Arabidopsis thaliana: one gene and its partners. The protein of the gene in region 1 interacts with the protein of each later gene in a biochemical or structural test. Each region holds a gene or a part of one and is shown on either strand. Other genes may lie near its edges.

Evidence for each region. The genes of interacting proteins can lie anywhere in the genome.
Region 2: of the proteins of SIP4 (region 1) and CBL2, one has a biochemical effect on the other in vitro, tested with the Arabidopsis thaliana proteins (2 studies listed by BioGRID).
Region 3: of the proteins of SIP4 (region 1) and CBL10, one has a biochemical effect on the other in vitro, tested with the Arabidopsis thaliana proteins (one study listed by BioGRID).

What each region holds. Positions count from the first base shown.
Region 1 is NC_003071.7:12,935,280-12,942,013, forward strand, and holds SIP4 (SOS3-interacting protein 4), read right to left. Parts: upstream 3,556-6,734; 5' UTR 3,294-3,555; coding exon 1,986-3,293; 3' UTR 1,700-1,985; downstream 1-1,699. Other genes in the region: AT2G30350 (Excinuclease ABC, C subunit, N-terminal), read right to left, coding at 1-130, 324-463; CHAL (allergen-like protein), read right to left, coding at 5,298-5,543, 5,997-6,172, 6,483-6,575, 6,711-6,734.
Region 2 is NC_003076.8:22,668,044-22,675,892, reverse strand, and holds CBL2 (calcineurin B-like protein 2), read right to left. Parts: upstream 4,781-7,849; 5' UTR 4,348-4,780; intron 3,879-4,347; 5' UTR 3,822-3,878; intron 3,741-3,821; 5' UTR 3,705-3,740; coding exon 3,581-3,704; intron 3,445-3,580; coding exon 3,362-3,444; intron 3,264-3,361; coding exon 3,204-3,263; intron 3,108-3,203; coding exon 2,999-3,107; intron 2,924-2,998; coding exon 2,871-2,923; intron 2,777-2,870; coding exon 2,696-2,776; intron 2,619-2,695; coding exon 2,506-2,618; intron 2,372-2,505; coding exon 2,314-2,371; 3' UTR 2,263-2,313; exon of another isoform or gene 2,038-2,262; intron 1,980-2,037; 3' UTR 1,793-1,979; downstream 1-1,792. Other genes in the region: AT5G55980 (serine-rich protein-like protein), read right to left, coding at 5,251-5,592; AT5G55970 (RING/U-box superfamily protein), read right to left, coding at 6,581-6,727, 6,909-7,281, 7,363-7,849. UniProt on the Arabidopsis thaliana protein: Acts as a calcium sensor. CBL proteins interact with CIPK serine-threonine protein kinases. Binding of a CBL protein to the regulatory NAF domain of a CIPK protein lead to the activation of the kinase in a calcium-dependent manner.
Region 3 is NC_003075.7:15,921,168-15,928,420, reverse strand, and holds CBL10 (calcineurin B-like protein 10), read right to left. Parts: upstream 4,073-7,253; coding exon 4,025-4,072; intron 3,703-4,024; exon of another isoform or gene 3,601-3,702; coding exon of another isoform or gene 3,583-3,600; intron 3,492-3,582; coding exon 3,323-3,491; intron 3,175-3,322; coding exon 3,092-3,174; intron 2,902-3,091; coding exon 2,842-2,901; intron 2,765-2,841; coding exon 2,656-2,764; coding exon of another isoform or gene 2,633-2,655; exon of another isoform or gene 2,584-2,632; coding exon 2,531-2,583; intron 2,462-2,530; coding exon 2,381-2,461; coding exon of another isoform or gene 2,369-2,380; exon of another isoform or gene 2,281-2,368; coding exon 2,168-2,280; exon of another isoform or gene 2,078-2,167; coding exon 2,023-2,077; 3' UTR 1,793-2,022; downstream 1-1,792. Other genes in the region: GLDP1 (glycine decarboxylase P-protein 1), read left to right, coding at 1-93, 174-326, 418-606, 693-770, 852-977, 1,065-1,163, 1,261-1,378, 1,481-1,569; AT4G32990 (Transducin/WD40 repeat-like superfamily protein), read right to left, coding at 5,763-5,837, 6,032-6,115, 6,373-6,442, 6,682-6,744, 6,943-7,014, 7,104-7,169. UniProt on the Arabidopsis thaliana protein: Acts as a calcium sensor. CBL proteins interact with CIPK serine-threonine protein kinases. Binding of a CBL protein to the regulatory NAF domain of a CIPK protein lead to the activation of the kinase in a calcium-dependent manner.

The DNA.
Region 1 (6,734 bases):
AGAGACATTGGTGGGGAAACCATAGATACAGAGAACCATTTCCCATGGACGTTTCTTCTTTGTTCTCCAAGCACCACTAGTGATCTCTCCATTGTGCTGCCTTATTCTCCGCCTCGGGTTTACAGTGAACCTACCAACCAAACCCAGTTTATGCAATCAATCACTAAACATCTCATAGTCTGATTATTAAACACTCAAAATCTCCTATTTGATCAAATTTAAGTATTCAATCAGATAAACCCAGAAAATGTAAATCCTTTCTCAATCGAATTTGATCCAACAGAATCTTCAATTCCAAAATCAGAGATGAGAGAAACAAGTACCCGATATAGGTTTGACCCTTATGACGAGGGCTAAGAGAGGTCAAGAGATAACAGGCGAAGAAGCCTTTTCCATCTTTTCCGGTGACTCCATCCTCACCGACGGGATCTAGGGCTTTCCGATTTCCCCTTTTCTCTCTCATATCTCTTGGATTCAATTCGACCGTTGAAGACGACAGATTATTACACTAAAAAATCCGTTTTATCTCTTAAGGATGAGAATGGGCCGAAATGTATGATTAAGGCCCACTGTATTCAATGACCCAATTTTATAATGGCCCAATTTTTTATAATTCATTTCCTATACTGTATTTTGTTTTACTTGGTTCACATGACATTGTTACCCATCATGATAGTGATACCGTGATAGGTCTCCTATTGATTTTAGAGCTTATAAAATTTGCTCACTTATGTCAAATTTTACCGCAACTAAAATTTCAGCTTTCAAATAATCTCTCCTCATATTATATCCTCTTTTTCTTTTTACTTTTCAGATACAATAAATGATGGTTTTCAATTTTGAGTTTGTCTCTAATAAAGAATTTATTCTTAACTTTGGTTTAGTAGAGTTTTTGGTTTTTATTTTAGCTATATAGTAAACTTTGATTTCAGAGAGTTTGGTACAATAATATTTTTATGAGGAAATCACCCAAGTGAATAAAGAGAGTTTAGATATAGTCAAGAATATTCAATAAGCATTCTACTTTCCTAATTCACACCAAACAACCTAATTTGCCAGAGTTTTTCCATTTGCACCTAAAACCAAAAGGTGGGCAGAAACTATGGTGAGATGATATTAATTAAAATTTTAAATTGGCCAAACAAATGATGAGAAGAATAACAAAAGGCTGGTGCTTATGATGATGCTTTAATAATGATAATGATTCCTTAACCTTCACTCGTTTTGAGTTGTAATATCCAATCAAGTAGACAATAATAGCTTTTCTTTTTATAAAGCTGCAGATTTCAATTTTTGAAGTTCCCTGATTCTATACATACTTTTTAATGCTTTTTCTTCACTGGATGTGGAACTCCCATTTCAATCATTTCATTTGTTCAATAATACATTACACAAAGTTTTTCTTTCAAAAATGCTTTCAATTCTATACATAAATATTAAAGTGAAGAAGCCATATTTGATAAGCAGAAAAATGTATAGAATTGAAAGCCTTTTTGAAAAAAAAAAAAATGTGTAATGTATGGATTTTTGAGAGTTTAGATGAGTTTATGCGATTTAGAGATTATTTTATTTTAGTAATTTATCTACTTTTTATTTTCAATTCATTGGTTATTAATCTGATTTGGTTATCATGCACTTTAACTTAATACAATTTGCATGGTTGATTTTAAAAAGTAGTTATGTACAAATGTGTAAAATTGGAAAATCCAAACTATAAATAGAAGAACATTTTCTACATTATACAAAAGAGTGAAGTATCTACAAATGCAATTTTAGACTTGTTGTTGTACATAGTAACACATTGATCAAAAAGCACAAAATAGATACCTACAATTTGGTACAGTATTTAAATACATACATTAATTTTTATTATTTTTTCTCTGTTTTTAATTCCGAAACAAAAGTAGTAGAAACCAAATCCAACCAACGAAACGCGATTGGCGTTTTAAAATTGAAAGCACGGTAGAAAACTTCATAGCGTTCTTTTAAATAGCCGCGTTTGTTGACGACGTCTGATCGCAAACGCGAATAAGTTGAACCCTGAGTTTACCATTCCACATCTCCTTATAACAATCACCATCACCACCTCTCCGCCGTGCCTCCACCACCACAAGCAAATCATTCAACCGCGAAATACAAATCCCGATACCAAATTTCCCATTTTGCCCCTCCATCTCAAACCCATACTCTTCCTCCTTCTTCTTCTTCATCCTCAGATTCTCCTCTCTCGCAAACCCCTCCACTTCCTCCGCCAACATCTCCGGCGACTTTTCCGATAAAAACCTCTCCGATTCACCACTCGAATTACTACAACCAGCAAACAATCCCGACAAATCCAATCCCGACGAGTAAGAAATCAAATCAAACGCGTTTAAACTCTTCACAGCTTCTAGTGACGATTCCACTTTCTGATCTTCGATCTCGTCATCGTGGAACTTGATCTGTTTAAAACCTCCTCTAACAAACCAAGGATCTTTCAAAATCTCATCAATGGTGATTCTAGTCTCAGGATTAATATCTAAAAGACGAGAAACGAATCGTTTCAGATCTGGAGACATCCAACGAGGAAAACGATACTCTCCTTTATAAATCTTCTTATACATATTCATCACATTCGGATCGTTAAACGGTAAATAACCGGCGACGAGAACGAACAAGACGATTCCACAAGACCATACATCAACTTTAGCACCTTCATATCCTTTTTTAGATAGAATCTCCGGCGCAACGTACGCCGGAGTACCACACAAGGTATGTAACAACCCATCGGGTCGGATCTGATCCGTTAACGCGCTTAGACCGAAATCGGAAACTTTTAAGTTTCCGTTTTCGTCTATTAATAGATTCTCTGGTTTGAGATCGCGGTGGTAAACACCGCGAGCGTGGCAATAACCAACGGCGGAGATCAGTTGCTGGAAATATCTCCGGCTTAAATCTTCGCTAAGACGTCCATGTTTTGAGATTTTGTTGAATAGTTCTCCTCCTTTAACAAACTCCATTGCGAAGAAGATCTTTGATTTTGTCGCCATTACTTCGTGGAGCTTGACGATGTTTGGATGAGATAATCTTCTCATGATTGAGATCTCGCGTTTGATGTTGTTGGCTAGAGCTGGATTTGTGAGGAGTTTTTTCTTGTTGAGGATTTTCACGGCGACGCTTTGGCCGGTACGACGATCACGTGCGTGGAAGACTTTGGCGAATGCGCCGCATCCGAGAAGCTTTCCGAGCTCATATTTACCGAATAAGGCGTCGTTGTTGTCGCCGCTGCCGGCGGCAATCTCGATCTCTGGCATGATTGATGAATCCAGAGATTGATTGATGAATAAGAAAACTTCGCCGGAGAATTTGAATCTGTTTCGTTTGCGCGTAATGCAGATGTGATGAACACGTAAGCTAATTCTTCTTCTCTTTTTTTTTTTTTGGTTTTGTTGTGAATTTACTTTTTATGGAATAAGAAATTTGAAAGAAAGTGGTTTAGGTATTTAAATGGTGGAGAAGTGATGGCGTAACGCGGAAGCTTTTAAAAAGATAAGTTCGATAGAATAATAATGGATTAAGGGTATAAAGGAATTAGAGTTGCCTAAAAAAGGAGTTTAACTGAAGCACTATTATATGTAACCGTTACAGAATTTGTTTGTTGTCAATTAAAAAAATAAAATGTTAAAGTTTTTTTAACCCAAATTTTATATATGTGAAGCAGTGAAGGTTTACTGTTATAATTAACTGACACAACTACCTGAGCACACAATCCATCTATTCAACACATGAAGCCAAATTTAGCCGATAATGTAATTGATAGTCTTCACATAAAGCAACTGTTCTTGAGTCGATGCATATGTATATCTAGTTCCTTAAATCATATAGTTTTTTCATTTTGTACAATCGATCTACAGACTACAGTGTACACCTAATTATTACGTGGTTTTTGTACTCACTCAATTATTATGTTGTCGATAGTTTCTACTTTATTTCCTCTGCCTACGTGTCATGATCTTATCACTTAACTTACTCTGATCATAACTCTTCTCGTACTTTTTACATCTAAAACTATTCAGAATCTTGTAGTATTATAGTTAGAAGAATGTACATCAATAAATAATTGTTTCGTATATCAGTTATTTGCGTGTCTCATCGTATATGGTTGTTTTTTTATTCAACTCTTAGGTAATGAAGAATTGAAGATAGCGACTTGGTTAGTAACTTATACTAACAAAACATGTTCCACGAGGTAATGGCAGGTGTCTCTCACACACGTGGCAATATCCGAACGGTGGAACAAGTCGACGCGGCGCCGGCTTCAAGCTGGACGGTTCTGGATCGTGGGCCGGCTGTTGAAAAATCGGTGCTGAGATATGTTTCTATTTTATTTTATTTTTTAATAATCGCTGATTGCAGACTAATTATTTCTCTATTGTTTGATCTGATTGACTAATTATTTATCAGTTATAGACTAATAGCCAGGAAATAATAACCTTTGCTCGCGTCGGTAATTTGATTATTTTTCTAACATAGAATAAGAAAGAACTTTGCACCAAAAAAAAAAAAAGGAATAAAGAACATGGGCCGTACCATATTCACATCCTGATTAAACTTTCGTCTTTACATAAAAAACCTTTCAATAAGAAAGAAGAATCAGTCAGTCAATGACTGCGACTTTAAAGAAAAAAAATGACCGCGAGTCTGCGACTTTAAATCCTTCAAACTTTTATATATGGGCTATGTGTGAGTGGTGTAAGGTGTATTTGGATACGTAATACGTTATACGTTAGCATATGTTTTCTTGAATATTATCAGTGTGTACGAATAGATTAAATTGAACGAGCTGAGACTACAGAATTTAAATGAAATCAACGAGTCCCGCAGACAGATGTTAATAGTTTACTTATATGTATATGCTAAGAGTAATGTTATTGGGCTTTTGGTTTATTTATGTTAGTCCATATGTTTATGAGCCTAAACCTATGTGATACTTATTAGAAAGCGAGTACGTTTTTTTATTTTTTGTTCATTATAAGCAAGTACGTTGAAGAAGAAGACAAGAAATATGTTTCCTTTTGACACCAAATGTTGATATTATTCATGAATTATGTCACCATATACGAAATCATATGCTAAGAACGTCATATCGTCTATACGAGCATCATCAATCAATTTATCAGCAAAAGTTTCACGTTGAGGTTGTCCTAGCAACATGTCAATGTATAATAAATATTTGGAGTAGAGGCAAGATATAACTACGAACATGCATATAATTCATATATATAATGTATATATGTGAGTATATATATTATAAAAGATCATGGCATGTACAACTTGTTGCCGCACTTGCATCTCCAAGCTTCCGGGTAGTATTCGGCGGTGACAGGCGTGCCGGGAGGCACCGGAACGTGAACAGGCTTGCACGGAGTGCATCTTCCACACTTGGAGGAGCACCGTGGTGGAGATGAGCCCAATCCCCTTAGAATCCTCCGTAGCTCTGCCTCCTTGCTCCGGTCACCGATCTTCCTAGTCTTCTTTATCACTACGGTACTCTTGCCTTCCTCCTGAACACATACTCAAAACGTACATATTATCACATTTTTCATTACTAAATATATATTCAAACGTATACATATCCTAATTTATTATTTTCTTCATTAGGATAATACATCTAGTAAAACAAACCAAACAATATGGTTAATCAAGAATAATTAGTATTTTCTAATTAACGTTCAATAATTAGTATCTTCTAGTGAACTCAATTTCAGCTGCTATCAACATAAGATAGTGAGAGGACTGCGTTACTAACGTGCGATTTCATGCTGACATACGCATATTATTGTTAAAATGCGCAGTTTAGGTAAAAAACATTTTTAAGACAGGGTTGGGGATGTGAGACAAGACGCGGGAAAACCGCTCCGGAAAAAGCGCTACGCACATTACCAAAAAGGGCAGAGAGATTGAGAAGTTCCAAGAGCCTGTCATACGTTAACGTGCACCGTGGGGGCTAATATTACCACTCGATCGAGATCGTAAGCAAGGCAGGGTCCCACGAGTGGTGAACGAACCAAAAGTTGAGTACTGTCCTTGTCCTCGTGTGCGCTGAAACCAATCCGACGGCTGAGAATTTCTTTAGGAGTACATGGCATCTCTGCATGCCCAGTCAGTCTCGACATGCCGTCACAGTCGCTGACTGTTCAAGCGCAGTTTAGCCACAACCCTTTTGTTTGTGTAGTCCTTTTAGAGAACCCCGCATTATAAGCTTATATTATTTATGGAAAAAAAAAAAAAAGCTTATATTATTTTTAAAGTGTGTTTAATGATGAATCAACATCAATCTTGTCCTCCAAAGATGCTTGAATCAGGAGAAAATAGAAACTAAGCTTTTTTTGGATTTTATGTGGTTATAGTTATGCCAAAAAAAAGGAAGTTAACACGGTTTTTGATTCCTATTTCCTAACTAATTGTTGACTCAACAGCAAAAAAACAAAAACAATTGTTACTTGTTAGATCACGCAAGAGAGTAAGAGGTATAAACAGTTTACGAACCTTTGCATAGAAGTTCCCTAGTGTCCCAGAGTTAGAATTCCTATTATCTGCATTTTTACAACAAGATAATATATGAATGGTACTGTAATAATTTATGTTACGTAACCAAAAATATTCTAAGATATTAATGTTTGAGAAAGTTGATAATTAATATGATAACGAGAAAAAGAAAGATGGCTTACATGGAGAAGAAGTCGAAGTGGGAG
Region 2 (7,849 bases), on another chromosome or scaffold:
ATTCTCTCCGACCAGATAAAACATTACATGGTGATGCTTCAAACTAAAGTTAGCTTCATTACATCTAACAATTTCGACATTTCTGTGATCGAAGCTCGAAGTTAAATCAAACATAGTTTCTTTGGATTTTAGCTATCGTTTCCAAGGCAAATCTCTCATATTTTTTTAACCATAAAAAATAATCTTTTATACTCTTTTTATTCTTTCAAACCAATTAATCTTTTCCTATGAGGAGATTTTAGTTATTTGTGTGAGCATAGTTATGAAAACATGTAGACAATAATTGAAACCCAAATGTAAAAGGTCCAAATTTAAAGTTTTTGTGGTTTAAAGCATAAAATTGATTTTCAAACAATATTCATGTAAAAAATAATGTATAAAAAATAAAAACTAAATCATATTAATGAAATATTCTTATTGAAAGAGAAAAAAGCTGAAGAGAGTGCGTGAAGTATGGTTGTTGGGTTGAGTTGGCTTTTAGAAGCATTATTTGATCTTGAAGTTGAGTTTGTGTCTAGTATGGCTGAAGATAAGATGAAGAGTAAAAACTGTTTTTTCAAAATGAAAAGTGTTTGGTAGTATATATTTCTTGGAGAAAGAGATAGTCTACATAGAGCGTGAAGAACTTTTAGAAGAAGTTTCTTATTTCAGTCTTGTAAAGAAAAACAAGAAGAATGGTCTTCCATCTCGTTTATATGATTTATTTTTTATACGCTAAAAATATGATTGATCATGTGTTTTATTCAATTTTAAAAGCACATTAACATTAATCAATCATTAATAGATCTAATGTGCTTGATGTTTTAGTTGGTCTTATAAATTAATTTCACCGATAAATGAATTTTTTTTTCTCCGGCGAGATAAAACATTACATGGTGAGGCTTCAAGCTAAAGTTGGCTTCATTACATCTAACAATTTCGACATTTTTATGTACGAAACTTGTAGTTATATCAAGCTTAGTTTCTTTGAATTTTAACTATCGTTTCCAAGGCAAATCTCTCATATTTTTTAACCATAGAAAAATAATCTTTTATACTCTTTTTATTCTTTCAAACCAATTAATCTTTTTTCTATGAGGAGATTTTAGTTATTTGTGTGAATATAGTTATGAAAACATGTAGACAATAATTGAAACCTAAATGTGAAAGGTCCAAACTTAAACTTTTTTGTGGTTTAAAGCATAAAATTAATTTTCAAAAATATATATGTCAAAATGATGTATATAAAATAAAAACTAAATCATATTAATGAAATATTCCTTTGAAAGATAAAAAAGCTGAAGAGACGGCATGAAGTATGGCTATTGAGTTGAGTTGGCTTTAGAAGCACTGTTTGATCTTGAAGTTGAGTTTGCGTCTAGTATGGCCGAAGATAAGATGAAGAGTAAAAGTTGCTTTTTCTAAATGAAAAGCGCTCCTTGGAGAAAGAGATAGTCTACATGGAGCGTGAAGAACTTTTAGAAGAGGTTTCTTATTTCAGTCTTGTGTAGCAAAACAAGAAGAATGGTCTTCCTTCTCCTCAAGAAAGAACATGGAAGTCATTGAAGCATAAATGAGTCATTCTTCCATTGCCTTACTACAAACACAATGTTCCCCTCATCTACAATGGATGGGAAACTTGATTGGCAAGTCACTTCCTTTTGTATTAATGTAGGGTTCTTGGTGAGGGAAAATCGCTAATTCTTCAATTAGGTTTTTTTTCCCTTTTCTCACCTCTTCTTCTTTTTGGAAGAACATTATTCATGTCTCTGCTTCTCAACCATCCCCCGAAGCTCTGCTTTCGTATACCCTTGTTGGTAAGATCATCTCCTCTTCTCTCTAATGGCGTCTCATCGAAGATCCACTTTTTGTCATCATGTAAGTTGATTCTTGTGGAGCTGATCTCGGAAAACTCGTCATTAGGAGGGCTGGTGACATCACTCAGTTTTGACTAGTTTTGCTTACAAGTCACATATGAAATGACTAGTTTTGCTTGCAATCTAGAAATCCATTGAATTAATATTAAAAGCTAACTCTAATAACCAAAACACAGAGATTGAAGCAAATCTTTTTAATTGGATTAATAAATAAACTGAAAAACTTTACATTACCATAACATCAAGATGCAAAAGTTGTATCTACAGATAGACCGAGCGAAATCAAAAAGGACAAAAACCAAACTAAAAAGAAGAATTTTGCTTCACAAAAAAAGCTCAATAAAAAATAAAATGAGTTCAGAGATTTAGAAATGTAACAAATAAAGAACCATAACGAAAGAACAACCTTCAACAATACAATGATGTCTTGCCGCTGCTTGCTTTTGCTTTTGCTTTTTCAGGTATCTTCAACCTGAGAATGGAACACAAAGCTTGGAAACGTAGTCGTGATATCCCTGCAGAGCAAGCACACAACAGGATCACGACCTTTATTACATATCATGGAGAATAGAAGAAAGAGAAACCAGAGAAGGAATTTGGTTGAATAGATTCAATCCTGGTTATATAAATAGAAAGATTTGGAACTCACTTGAGATATTGAAGAGTCATGTTCTTCAGAAGGCTGGGATGTCTAAGAACAAGGCTTCTCCACTCTTCCTTATCGATCTTTCCATCGTGTTTTGTGTCTGCTTCCTCAAACGTCTGAAACATTCAAAACTCGGGAAATTACTTTCAAAGAAAAAATATAGGGTGAAGAGGAAAAAAAGTAAGTAACTTACCTTGTCGATTATATCCTCAATGACAGTATCCTTCAAATTCATTCCAGATTCAGCAAGCGTAGCGACAACCATTTGTTTCACCTGGACAAATGATGGACGAAAATGTCAGTGAGGATAATAAAGCGCACTTCTACAAGGTTATATATGAAGCTATTTGAAGATATGGAAGCTTTACCTCTTGCCGTTCGATAAACCCTTGCTGTTTAAGATCATATAGCTGAAATGAAACTGCAAAAAAATAGTATATATCATTAATGTGTTATCCCAATCTTGTTTTTGAGATACAAGCTAAAAGGGACGTACAGTGAATTTTGTCATCTATAGGCGCATTTGGGTGAAAGACGGAGAGAGCACGAGCAAATTCCTCAAACCCCAGTATTCCATTGTGCTTTGTATCAAACAAATCGAAAACCTAGAAACAAAATCACATATTTCAGCATTTCTTCTAAACTTGATCTTGACAAAAATGGGTTTAAGAACACTTATAATGTGAAGAAAGAAACATTACCCGATCTGCAAACAAACTCTCTTTTTTATTTGTCTTAAACAAAGCCAACTGAAACTCTTCCTGATACAAACAAGAGATGAGTAAATTAGACAGATTGTTAGATCAATCACTAAAGCTTTACCAAATGAGGAAGAAGATCAAACAAGTTAGAGTTATACCTTGTTTATTAGCCCATCATCAATCACGGCACTGCTGATTTTCTTAAAAAGCTCATAAAGAGCTTCTATTTCACTCACACTAACTGCATTCCAAAACCAAATTCAATCATCAATAGTCTTCAGAAGAAATATTTTTGCATTCCTCAAATGGTATTGCATCGAATCTTATAACCGGAAAAAAAAAAAAAAAAAAAGAGTAGAGAAGGTGATAGGGCATACAAACAGTGTCTCTTGCAAGCAATTCAGGATCTCCAAGGCCACCAGATTGTTTATACAAATCAAGATCAAAACACCCTAAAACAGAGGTGCATAAATGCTTGATACCGTCAACGCACTGCGACATGATATATCTTAAGCAGCAAATCAAAACTCTCCATGCCTGCATATAAAACATTGTGAACTTGTTTTGCTAATTTCAAAAAACAGCTCTACAGAAGCAAGCATATGAAGAACACTGTACCTTTCAACCATTTCCTAGTGTTTTTTGCTGAGAAAGGATGAGACTTTGCGAGAGTATCTGTAACACAAGTTGCAAAATTCAGAGTAATCTAAATAAGTCAGTCAATATAGGCAACACAAACATTGCTTAGAAACTGAAGTCATTATCATGATTTTACTATTCAGATGATTCAGTTATGTCCACATAATATATACAATATTGAAGAAGATAAGAAAATTAATGGAGAATCTAAAGACTTAATCAAAGCTCATTAACCAAATTTTAATCTTAAACATCACAATTTATGGACACACAAAATTAATAAAATCCATCAGAAACAAACCCAAATTGGGAAATTTGAATTTATACATTAATGAACTCAAGGATTACACAATCAATTACAGGTTCTGAGAAACAAAACCCGATCTAGATCCCCAAAAATCGTCCTAATGGATTCGTGAATCGCAGATTCAACAGAGATAGAAGAATCTTGATATGTAAGTGAACTCAAAATGAGTAGAATGGATTTGCGTATACGAAAATTTACCGATTACGTTGATTCTCAATCTCAAGTCGGCTCTGGTTGTTGAAGCTGAGCGAGGAAGACGGAGACGATTTGTTGTAAAGCAGAGGAGAGAGTTGGAAAACAAATTAAAACCTGAAGAATCTTTTTAAATATCTCAACAAACAACAAAAACTCAATCTTTTTGCATTATTACAAATTAAATCCTGAAAAATCTGCTCAAATCGTCGTCGTTTTATTCTTCAAAATACGGTTCGATTTGATTTTCGTTCCGGTTAAGTAAAACTCGAGCTGAATTGAACCGGACATAAATTTGAATTTCACATTCACCCATAGAATATATGATCTATTGTGCTATTGGAGAATTTAAGTTTTCAAAAAATCTTCAAATTAGTACATTTTTTACGATGTTAAATGCAAAATAATCATACAAAATCAAAGATAATATGTGATATAGCCATTTTTTTCTATTGTCAAATTTTAAATTTTTGACAAGTAACATATAAAATCGAACCTCCCGAAATGATAAGTTCAATTATATCTTCAGAAATTTTAAAAATAATGTGATCATCAAAACGTTTACAATATATATAAATTTGCAAAAATATATTATATTGCGTATTATTTCTGACTTCGTAAAATTATTTTATATTTTCTTTATATAAAATGTAGACAGAAAAATTCATTTCAAGTATTTTTGAAGCATATAAAATGTGTATGTAATAAATGCTTAAATTTGAATCAAATTGGTGAAAATTAGATAAAAGTTTACCTTGAATCGGGTTAAGCCGATTTCAAGCGGTTTAGTAATACAGACCAATGTCTTTTTCGATAAAAATTATTGAACAATGTCAAAAGAAGAAGTAGAAGAAACAAACAAATAACAAAACCGACAGTTATTATACCGAACAAATCCAGTAACCGGGTTTACTGAGCCTTGAGGGAGTCACTAAACCGGCTCGACTTGGACGACAATAAAACAGCGAGGTTCGACCCAATAGACCCGGCACGTGTCAACGAATCAACGCGGTGATACCTGCACCTGAAAGAACCGGCGTGTGTCGTCGGAGAACATAAACAATTTAGCCTCGTAGATTTACCGGAGGACGATCTCCAACGTTTTAAACTAGGTGAGTTATTGTCTTGGCTCTTCGATTCAACGGTAGAGCTACCGGAGGGTTTAGGGTTGATCTTGGCTAAACTTGTGGAATACTTTTCTTGTGCCTTAGGTTGTCCGAGATTTAGGGTTGAAGGGTTTTCTTTCGTCATGGTTTTGACGAACGTAAATAAGAATGAATTTGTGTTGTTGTTTCTTGCTAATGAATCAAAAGGTAATTTCTATAGTGACTTTTGTTATGAAGGTAAAGAATGATTTGTGTTGTTTCTTGCTAATGAATCCAAAAGGTCATTTATAATAGTGACTTGTGAGAGAAGGCAGCTAAAAATAGTCGTTGGATGTTGTTGACAAACTGCTTTTTTAAGTTATTGGTGGTTAGTATTCTAGAAAAGAGTTATTGTAAATTAGTAGAAAATATTTGACTTGGAGGTTTTATTCTTCTTTTTATGGTTTACACATTTTGTGCAAGGACAAATATTATGACTTTTCAACCAATTAGGAACATACTTAGTTGTGTTAGTGCCAATTGAGAATCTAGAACAGTCTAATTTAAAGATTCTGTAACCAAAAAAAAACATCTGATTGTTTTTGTTTGGTTTGTGCCTATTTTAGGTTTTGACAGACTCAAAGGCTTAAAATTCAAACTCTAAATTAAACACCCTAAGACTTACTTATATAGCTGAAGTCAAAACCATCTCAAAGACTCCAACTATTTAGATGCCATGTCCAAAACTTTTATACTTATGAGATATAGTTAATGCTATAAAAATATTTCTTTTAAGAAAACCGACATCCTAATTGATAGTTAATGAAGTAATGTTTGGGTTTTCAGTTTTAAATTGCAAAAAAAAAAATTGAACATATAAAAAAATATATACATCAAGATATGTAAATGAGACGAGAGAAAAAACAAAATATGTAGTATAAACACTATATTAAGATTCTATAAAGTTGTTGCCATTGTGATTTGCATCATCTACTCACAATGTACATAACGATTACTGGTGAGCTCTTTATGTACAAAAAATTTGACACTCACACAAGTAATCGACTTTGCTTCAATCCAAAACTAAAAAAAAAAAAAACTGAGAAAGAAAAAAATTATATTGAGCTTTTGTTGCTTTTAGGGTATTTGCTTTGTCATCTTGGAAGATCTTGTTTGCAGAGAGGACAACAAGAGATGATACGAAGCCATTGATCTACACACTTTGAGTGAAACTTATGTGAACATGGAAGCTTCCTTACTTCTTCTTTGTCTTTATACTTTGCCAAACATATACAACACTCCTGCAAAACCAAATCAAAACTCAAAATCTAAGTCCTTTTCAATCATAAACGAGACTAATAGACAACATTCGACATCAGATTCCCTTAGTGGATCAAAACAGAGCTATCACAGATTAAACCTTATGGTCCAAGAAAACTTGTGGATTTGGCTTGAATTGAGAGTAAAAGAATTAGGACTTACTGGATCATCAGTTACAGTAGCTGAATCTGAATCAGAATCAGAAGCACTATCGTCGATTCGTTTGAATTTCCAGCTAGGGAGACTAGAGATTTGGTCATCTGATGCTGCTCTGTCTGAGGATCCCATGTTCATGTTATATCCAAGGAGGCTACTTATGAGAGGAACAAGGCAACAGAGGAAGAGGAAGAGAAGAAAGGGAAAGGAATAGCAGATAGCGTTCCAAGCTAAAAGAGAGACGCAGAGAACGTGAAGCTTGGGAGCATGGTGGAAAGAACCAAACCTAGAATCGAACACCCAAACATTTCCAATCACAAACCAAATCGCAAAGAAAAGCTCTAGCGACGTTCTGCATTTGTTCATCAAGTGAGAGGACCTGCAAACATAGAGCAATATCAGGATCTTGTAAAGGTTTTGGATTCATAATCGACAAAAGATAAAGATTTTTGAGTGTTACCTAGTTTCTTCTCTGCCTCTCTGTTGCTGCTCAACATCGCCAAGGACAAACCCATTTCCTTGGTTAATGTCTAGTTGACGATACCGACCATATAACAGCATGAGATTCAAAAGACATCCCACATCGTATCCTGTGATCCATAGCCTCACTGGCCAAATTGGTCTCTCTTCTTTGGAGATAGCTAGAGTGAATGTTATCACAGTGAGCTGAACAAGTAGAGCAATGAGCTCAGACATCATCCAAGTGCTAGAATTGAAAGGATTAGACCCAAGGTCAGATCTTGAACCGTTCTGGTAGTGAAACACTCTTCTCAAGAAGATGAACCATCTAGCTCTAGATACCTTCATAGCCAGCCTTATATAAAACGAAGATGGAGACCTCTCTTGACCATTAGCAGCAGCAACATGACTGTTATCGCCTCGCGGTGAGGAGCTTAACAAAGCAGACGATGAAATAGTGATCGTGATATTACTAGAAGATAACTCCG
Region 3 (7,253 bases), on another chromosome or scaffold:
GGAGTCTATGAAGAGGGCATCGACGAGATTTGCAACATAATACACGAAAATGGAGGTCAAGTGTACATGGATGGTGCCAACATGAATGCACAGGTGAAATATCTTACTAAAACAGAACACAGAGATCTTGAATTTTCTCTAATTTGTAAGAGCATGGTGTTGGGTACGTGTAGGTTGGTTTGACGAGCCCTGGTTTTATTGGAGCGGATGTGTGCCATCTCAATCTCCACAAGACCTTCTGTATTCCTCATGGAGGTGGTGGTCCTGGTATGGGTCCCATTGGTGTGAAGAATCATTTGGCACCATTTCTTCCTTCTCACCCCGTGGTTAGTCTTTTATCCTTCATCACTTTTATGTTTCTTGGTGATTGATGATTAATTCCTTAATTTTTTGTTTCTTCCATTTCCATGTATACAGATACCGACTGGTGGTATCCCACAACCCGAGAAGACAGCACCTTTGGGTGCAATATCCGCTGCACCATGGGGATCTGCGCTTATCTTGCCTATATCTTATACTTACATTGCCATGATGGGATCTGGTGGGCTCACTGATGCCTCTAAGATTGCAATTTTGAATGCCAATTACATGGCAAAGCGCCTAGAGGTAGTAGAACATCTTTGTCTTCTATTTACCTATTCATCTTTTGAGAATGAAAGGAGTCTAATTTTCCTCTTGATTTGTTTTTACAGAAACACTACCCAGTTCTTTTCCGTGGTGTTAACGGAACAGTAGCACACGAATTCATCATAGACTTGAGAGGCTTCAAGGTATGAAAATGTTGTGAACTGAAATTAAAGTAGTTGTTTTGGGTATGCATATCACTGACCGATTCAAATATGAATTTGTAGAACACTGCTGGAATAGAACCAGAGGATGTGGCGAAACGGCTAATGGACTATGGATTCCATGGACCCACAATGTCTTGGCCTGTCCCTGGAACTCTTATGATTGAGCCAACCGAGAGTGAAAGCAAGGTAAATATGGATATATGCAGATCTCTCATTGACTCTTTCTTCTCTCAGTGTATCAACTTGATGAAACTAAATAATATTCGTTTGCAGGCGGAGCTAGACAGGTTCTGCGATGCTCTCATTTCAATCAGGGAAGAAATTGCACAGATTGAAAAAGGAAATGCAGATGTCCAGAACAACGTTCTCAAGGTAATTAGGAAAACAAAGACTTATCATAATTATATCCAATAATAATATTGTTCGGAGAAGTTGAGATTCATACGTTGGTGGTTGTTTGTTTTCTCAGGGAGCTCCACATCCCCCATCGTTGCTAATGGCAGACACATGGAAAAAGCCGTATTCTCGAGAGTATGCTGCTTTCCCTGCGCCTTGGCTCCGCTCCTCCAAGTTCTGGCCCACCACAGGTATTAGACCATCCAAGATATAGATTGCACATTTGGTTTTCGATTCAGTTTATTCTGGTTTCGGAATTCTGATATGTGACAAATGATTGAAATGTGGAACAGGGCGTGTGGACAATGTATATGGAGACAGGAAACTGGTGTGCACTCTCCTCCCAGAGGAAGAACAAGTCGCAGCTGCAGTGTCTGCTTGATTACTGCTCTGTCCCATTGTGTTGTGTCCCTTTCTCTCACCACGCACTCTTCTCTTTCACATTCTGTCCATAGTGTTCTCATTATACGCTTTCTGTCTCTTACTCTATTATTTCATTCGAATACATCTTCTATAAATTATATATTCCACAATTGACCGAAAACAAAACACAAACTTTGGTAGAATCAAGACTTAAATCAACTATACTGCCATAGACGCAAGATGAAAAGAAAAATGCTTCATTACTTTCAATGGAACAATTACAGTAAAGTCATCAAAACAAAGCAAAGTGCTTGACAATTTTACTTACAGCTAATAATCATCAACTACGTTGGCTTAAAATAAAATAAGGAAAACCTTCTTTCCTCGTTCTGCTCTTGCGCTATGACAATCTCACTCGAATTACAGGACCAAGCAGAAAAAAGATGACCGGTGTTGCATGGACAGTTGTGCCTCAGTCTTCAACCTCAGTGTTGAATATAAAACTTGGGAATGCTGTCGTCACATCCCTTCAAATTCAAATACAGATATGGTTGATGATAAAGTAAAGGAAATCCTAAATGGAAGGGCTAATCTAAAAAAGAGAGAGGATTTGGTACTTTAGGTAAGGAAGAGTCATATTCTTCAACAAGCTAGGATGTTTATGCACATAGACATTCCATTCATCCTTACTAATTTTACCGTCTTTGTCAGAATCTGCATCAGCAAATGTCTAGCAAAAACAAAGTAGAGAAAGAAAAGAAGCATGTGCTAACTAAATTTACCAAAATATTATACATCACACTAAGAGAGATGGGATTTCAAGAACTCACTTTATCAATAATCATGGTCAGAAGTTCATCGGATAGCATCATATCAGATTCCAAGAGAATAGCAGAAACCATTTGTTGCACCTAACAAGTCCAACTTATTATGAAGCTGAAAAGAAGGGTTGCAACTTGCAATGGCAGATTATTATTTACCTCTTCTCGCTCAATGAATCCAGTTTGTCTTAGATCATAGAGCCTAAATGCAACTGTCACAGATAATAAAAGCATATGCTTGAGATCATCCAAGGAGTTATATTAGTAGTAATATTGATCCTTACAATCGGTCTTCTCCTGGATTGATGCATAGGGATGAAAGACACTGAGTGCATGGATGAATTCCTCAAACTCAATAACCCCATTCTTCTTTTCATCGAACAAATCAAAAACCTGCAAAACACCAATCAATATAAAGTAAAAAAAACTTTCATCTCAACAAGTCCAAGAAACCATGAGAAGCCACTCACCCTATCAAGAAAGAGGTTCTCACCATATGGAGCTTGGAACAGCGCCAGTCTAAGCTCTTCCTAGGAAACCAGAAATATCAAATTTCTTCATAACCATAAATTATAATGAGAGATAACTATCATCTAAAAAGAGCAAACTTAATGCCTTGAAAGCAATGAATCACACACATAAAGGAAAAGGAGTCAAGTGATGATCATCAACCTATGAAAAATTCACCAACTAGACATATCTGAGAGAGAAAAAACAGACCTTGTGAATCAAGCCGTCATCAATAATTGAACAGCTCAATTTCTTGAATAGCTCATACAAAGCTTCAACTTCATTGACTGAAACTGCAAAAAAGAAACAAACTTTTCAAACTTATCAACTTCCAAACAGAGTCATTTCGAAGACGCATTGATCCAAGAACGTATACAACACATTGGACATGAAATGAAAGAGAGAGAGAGAGAGAGAGGCAAAAACAAAAAGAAAACCAACATTGAGATTCACGAGCAAGACGTTCCAGATCCGCGTGCTGACATGTCCGAGGCGATGTGCTGCGGCAATCGAAGCATTGTCCGACGGAGGAAACTAGGACATCGATAATGGCAAAGAAAGGTATAAAGACGGCGCAGAATTGCTCTCCGACAGTGAGAGAGCTTGATCTCTGTTTCACCAAAACAAAACAAGAACAAGAACATTACAAAAAGACAAAATCAGAGAAGAAATGAGAAATCAAAGTAGTGAGAAAAATTTACAGAGGAAACTTGTTCCATGAGTTCATTCAAAATCACAATCACAGTCTTCCGGACTAAGTGGCAACTTTGATTCTGCTTCACTTATTATTTTTTCAGTTTATCAAAATGTCACGCTAATATATCCGTCATTTGAACCATTCTCTAAAATCAAATGAATGTACCGTCCTTGGTGGTCCCCATTTGATTTTTTTTTTTTTTTTAAACAAAATAATATATTATGGAATGGCTAAACTGGTAAACATATATATTGGTGAAGAAGAAAAAAAAGAACAAGAATAAATATAGAGCTTTTTAGTTTTTATTGGCTAAAATATTATTTTCTACGTATATGTATTTTCAAAATTACATTCAACTTAGAAATAAAACAATAGACAATGTTATATTTTCAGATTAATATTTGTCACTATCCTATCATTGAATGTAATTTTGAAAATACATATACAGTAGAAATTTTCAATGCTAAAATATTATTTGGTCGGCCAGTTGTCATGGATCAACTTAGTCGATGACGATCATGTCTTATCAAACTCTATAGTTGAAGAGCTAATTGATTAATTTTAGCAACTTTAGCCATTCCAATATTTCCATACACAAAGTGGATTAGACGACGCAAAAGATTAAGGATCTTTTTTTTTTTGCGGTTTGCACGATGCTAATAAGAGTGGGTGTGCTACACTCTGCAATTCCTCTGTTTCTGAAACATCTTTTCCAGAGTGAACACAAAAGAAGAAACCAAAAAGCTCTTTATTGCACGTGTTTTCTTCTCAACAAAACTCATAATCTTTCTTTTTAATTGGGTTGCCTGAATTTTCAGCCATATACTAGTTGGAATCTCAACTTTCCACCCTAAACTTTTAGCCACTTGAAAAACCTCCATAAACAATTTTAATCTCGATAAAACTACATGTACTTTCGGATTTATTCTTAAAACTACGCCTCCAATTGAACCGACCAGTTAACCGATAATTATACATCCGATTTGATTTACCCCTAATTTAACCGAAACTAATCTGATTTTGACTCTATTTTAGCCTAATTTTGACCCACACAAAATGTAAATAAATTGTCTTATTAAGAAGTAAAAGTATTTTTATTAATTTGTATTTGTGATAAACAATTAAAAATATTAAATTATTACTTAATTTTAGCAAAACTTAATATGACAAAATATACCCCAAATTATATTTTGAGCTACATTTTGTTATAAAATTTTGATAATATACAAACATATACATTTTCCTTTTGGCAATCATTTATATTTTTTTATAAATTTAAAGCTATGTCTTTTTTTAAACAAAAATATTCATTTTTCTTGAAATCATAATATATGACCTTTGAACTCTATATATGTAATAAAATTCAAAATATATGCCAAATTTATTTTTATAGATATCCATAAACACCACAATCAAAGTATATCTTATGGTATTTATAAATTTATTTTTCTTTATAGATTCAGTTTTCTTTTTATATATTCAAGATGAGTTATATATGTATATATATATATATATATTTATATATGATTATGGTGTTTTTAAAAAGAAAATGGCTTTTGAATTATTAAATTTAGAGTATATACCAAATACATTTATATATATAACACCATTGTATTTATAAAAAGAATTTGTTGTCTATTTTGTTATATTATTTTGCGGTATATTTTGTTATTTTATTATTTTGGTAAAATTAATTAATTTATTTTTAATTTTTTATCAAAAATAAATAAAAATAAATAAAAAGTATTTTTCTTCTAGAGAATATATTTTTTGGGTATAAATTGGGTTAAAATAGAGTCAAAATCGGATTAGTTTTGGATAAATTATGGGTAAGTCAAACCGGATGTATAATTATCGGTTAACTGGTCGGTTCAATTGGAGGCGTAGTTTTAAGAACAAATCCGAAAGTACATGTAGTTTTATCGAGATTAAAATTGTTTATGGTGGTTTTTCAAGTGGCTAAAAATTTAGGGTGGAATGTTAGTATAGGGCTGAAAATTCAGGCGACCCTTTTTAATTTAAATAGAGATATCCTTTCTCTAGTTTTTGACAAGCAAAGCTGCATCTCTGTGTATACTAAAGGAAAATCTAACTAAGAGAACACATTCCTCCTACTTAAACAATGAAATAGAAATTCTAACTAAGTTAGAAACCAACAAATTAAAAGAATATGTATCCGTCTGGTCATGGCTCCGAGGCAAGTTTCCAAATCTTAACCATTTTATCGTCGCTGGCCGAGGCAAGCAACCGGCTTTCCTTCTGCAATGCAAATCTCGATTTCAGAATCTTTAGCAAGAGATGATTCGCCGTATATGCTAAAACTAGTTTAAACAAGAAAATCAAGCTTTCAATTTTTTTTATGAACCAAACTCAGTACCAACATACGAGTAAGATTACCCTGCATTTGTTTACATATTTAGCCAATTACTCCTTAGGAAAGGAAATGAACTTACATCAGGTGCCCATTGGACCGAATTTACATCCATTTCATGTGCTTTCTCCTTCTTAACCAAAAGTTTGTATGAAGGTCCATCAACCTGACACAATGATGACCAGCTTTTCAATTTGGCTGTACACAAGGTATATTGTATGTAATGAAAAATCACTGGCTAGAGTCTAAAGCAAACGAAAAATTCAATCAAGAAACCATGAGCTTTGGTTTCTTGTGTTGTGCTACAATGATGACACAGAGCATATGCCAAGAAGTAAACCGGACAAGATATGGTTAATGATATTTTCTAAATGATACTAAAAGAGGGATTTGTGATTATAGGTAAAAGGGACAAGGGCATACAGAGTCACTGTCGCTGTCCACAAATAACTGTATAGTATCATCGCCTGCTCCACTAGCAATAACACCGTCCCTATCAAGGTATCAGATCTTATCATAAACTTATGTCGATCTATCCAGTAGGACACATAGAAGACAATTAATATTGGTCAGCAAAGCTTATTACTAATTTAGCTTTATTTGATCAATGAACTAGATTAAAAAAGTGCATTTATCAGGTGTAAGAAATCATCTTCTTGGTTGGCATGGGAATATAGTAGGACTTTACAATTGTTTCTTTCAAATCCCTCAAAAGTGACAACAAGTCTATACCTTGACCAATGAACTGAATATATGGTACGATCGTGAAAACCAGAGAGTGTACAAACATGAGTCCTGCAAAAATCAAGCACGTAAATATTTCATTAGCTACAAGTTAGAACATGAAATCCCTAGCAAATGAAGAATATTCAACCGCATGTATCTTATGTCAAACTTATAGACCATACAATAACAAAAAATACATCTTCAAAAGAGGAAAGATGTATATGCTAAACTCTATGAAGTGATAATTGAATGCCATTATATCCTCACCAGGGTACATATCCTTCACCAGATTGCATCCTTGAAATATCTGTCTTCCATATTTTCACTGCTAGATCATCACTGCAAAGTTCAGACAATCCAAATGTTAACAGACCAGGTAACAGAGATGAAATCTCCTATCCGAAACAATGGGGAGAAGATTCACCAACCTACAAGTGACCATCTTGTCCCCTGCAGCATTAAAAGAGATACTCCAGACGGTAGAAGAATGACCACTGAGTGAAGATTAAAGGCAACATATATTACTAAACGCATAAAAGAAATATCAAGAAAACAATAGCATCAAGGTAGGAAAATTT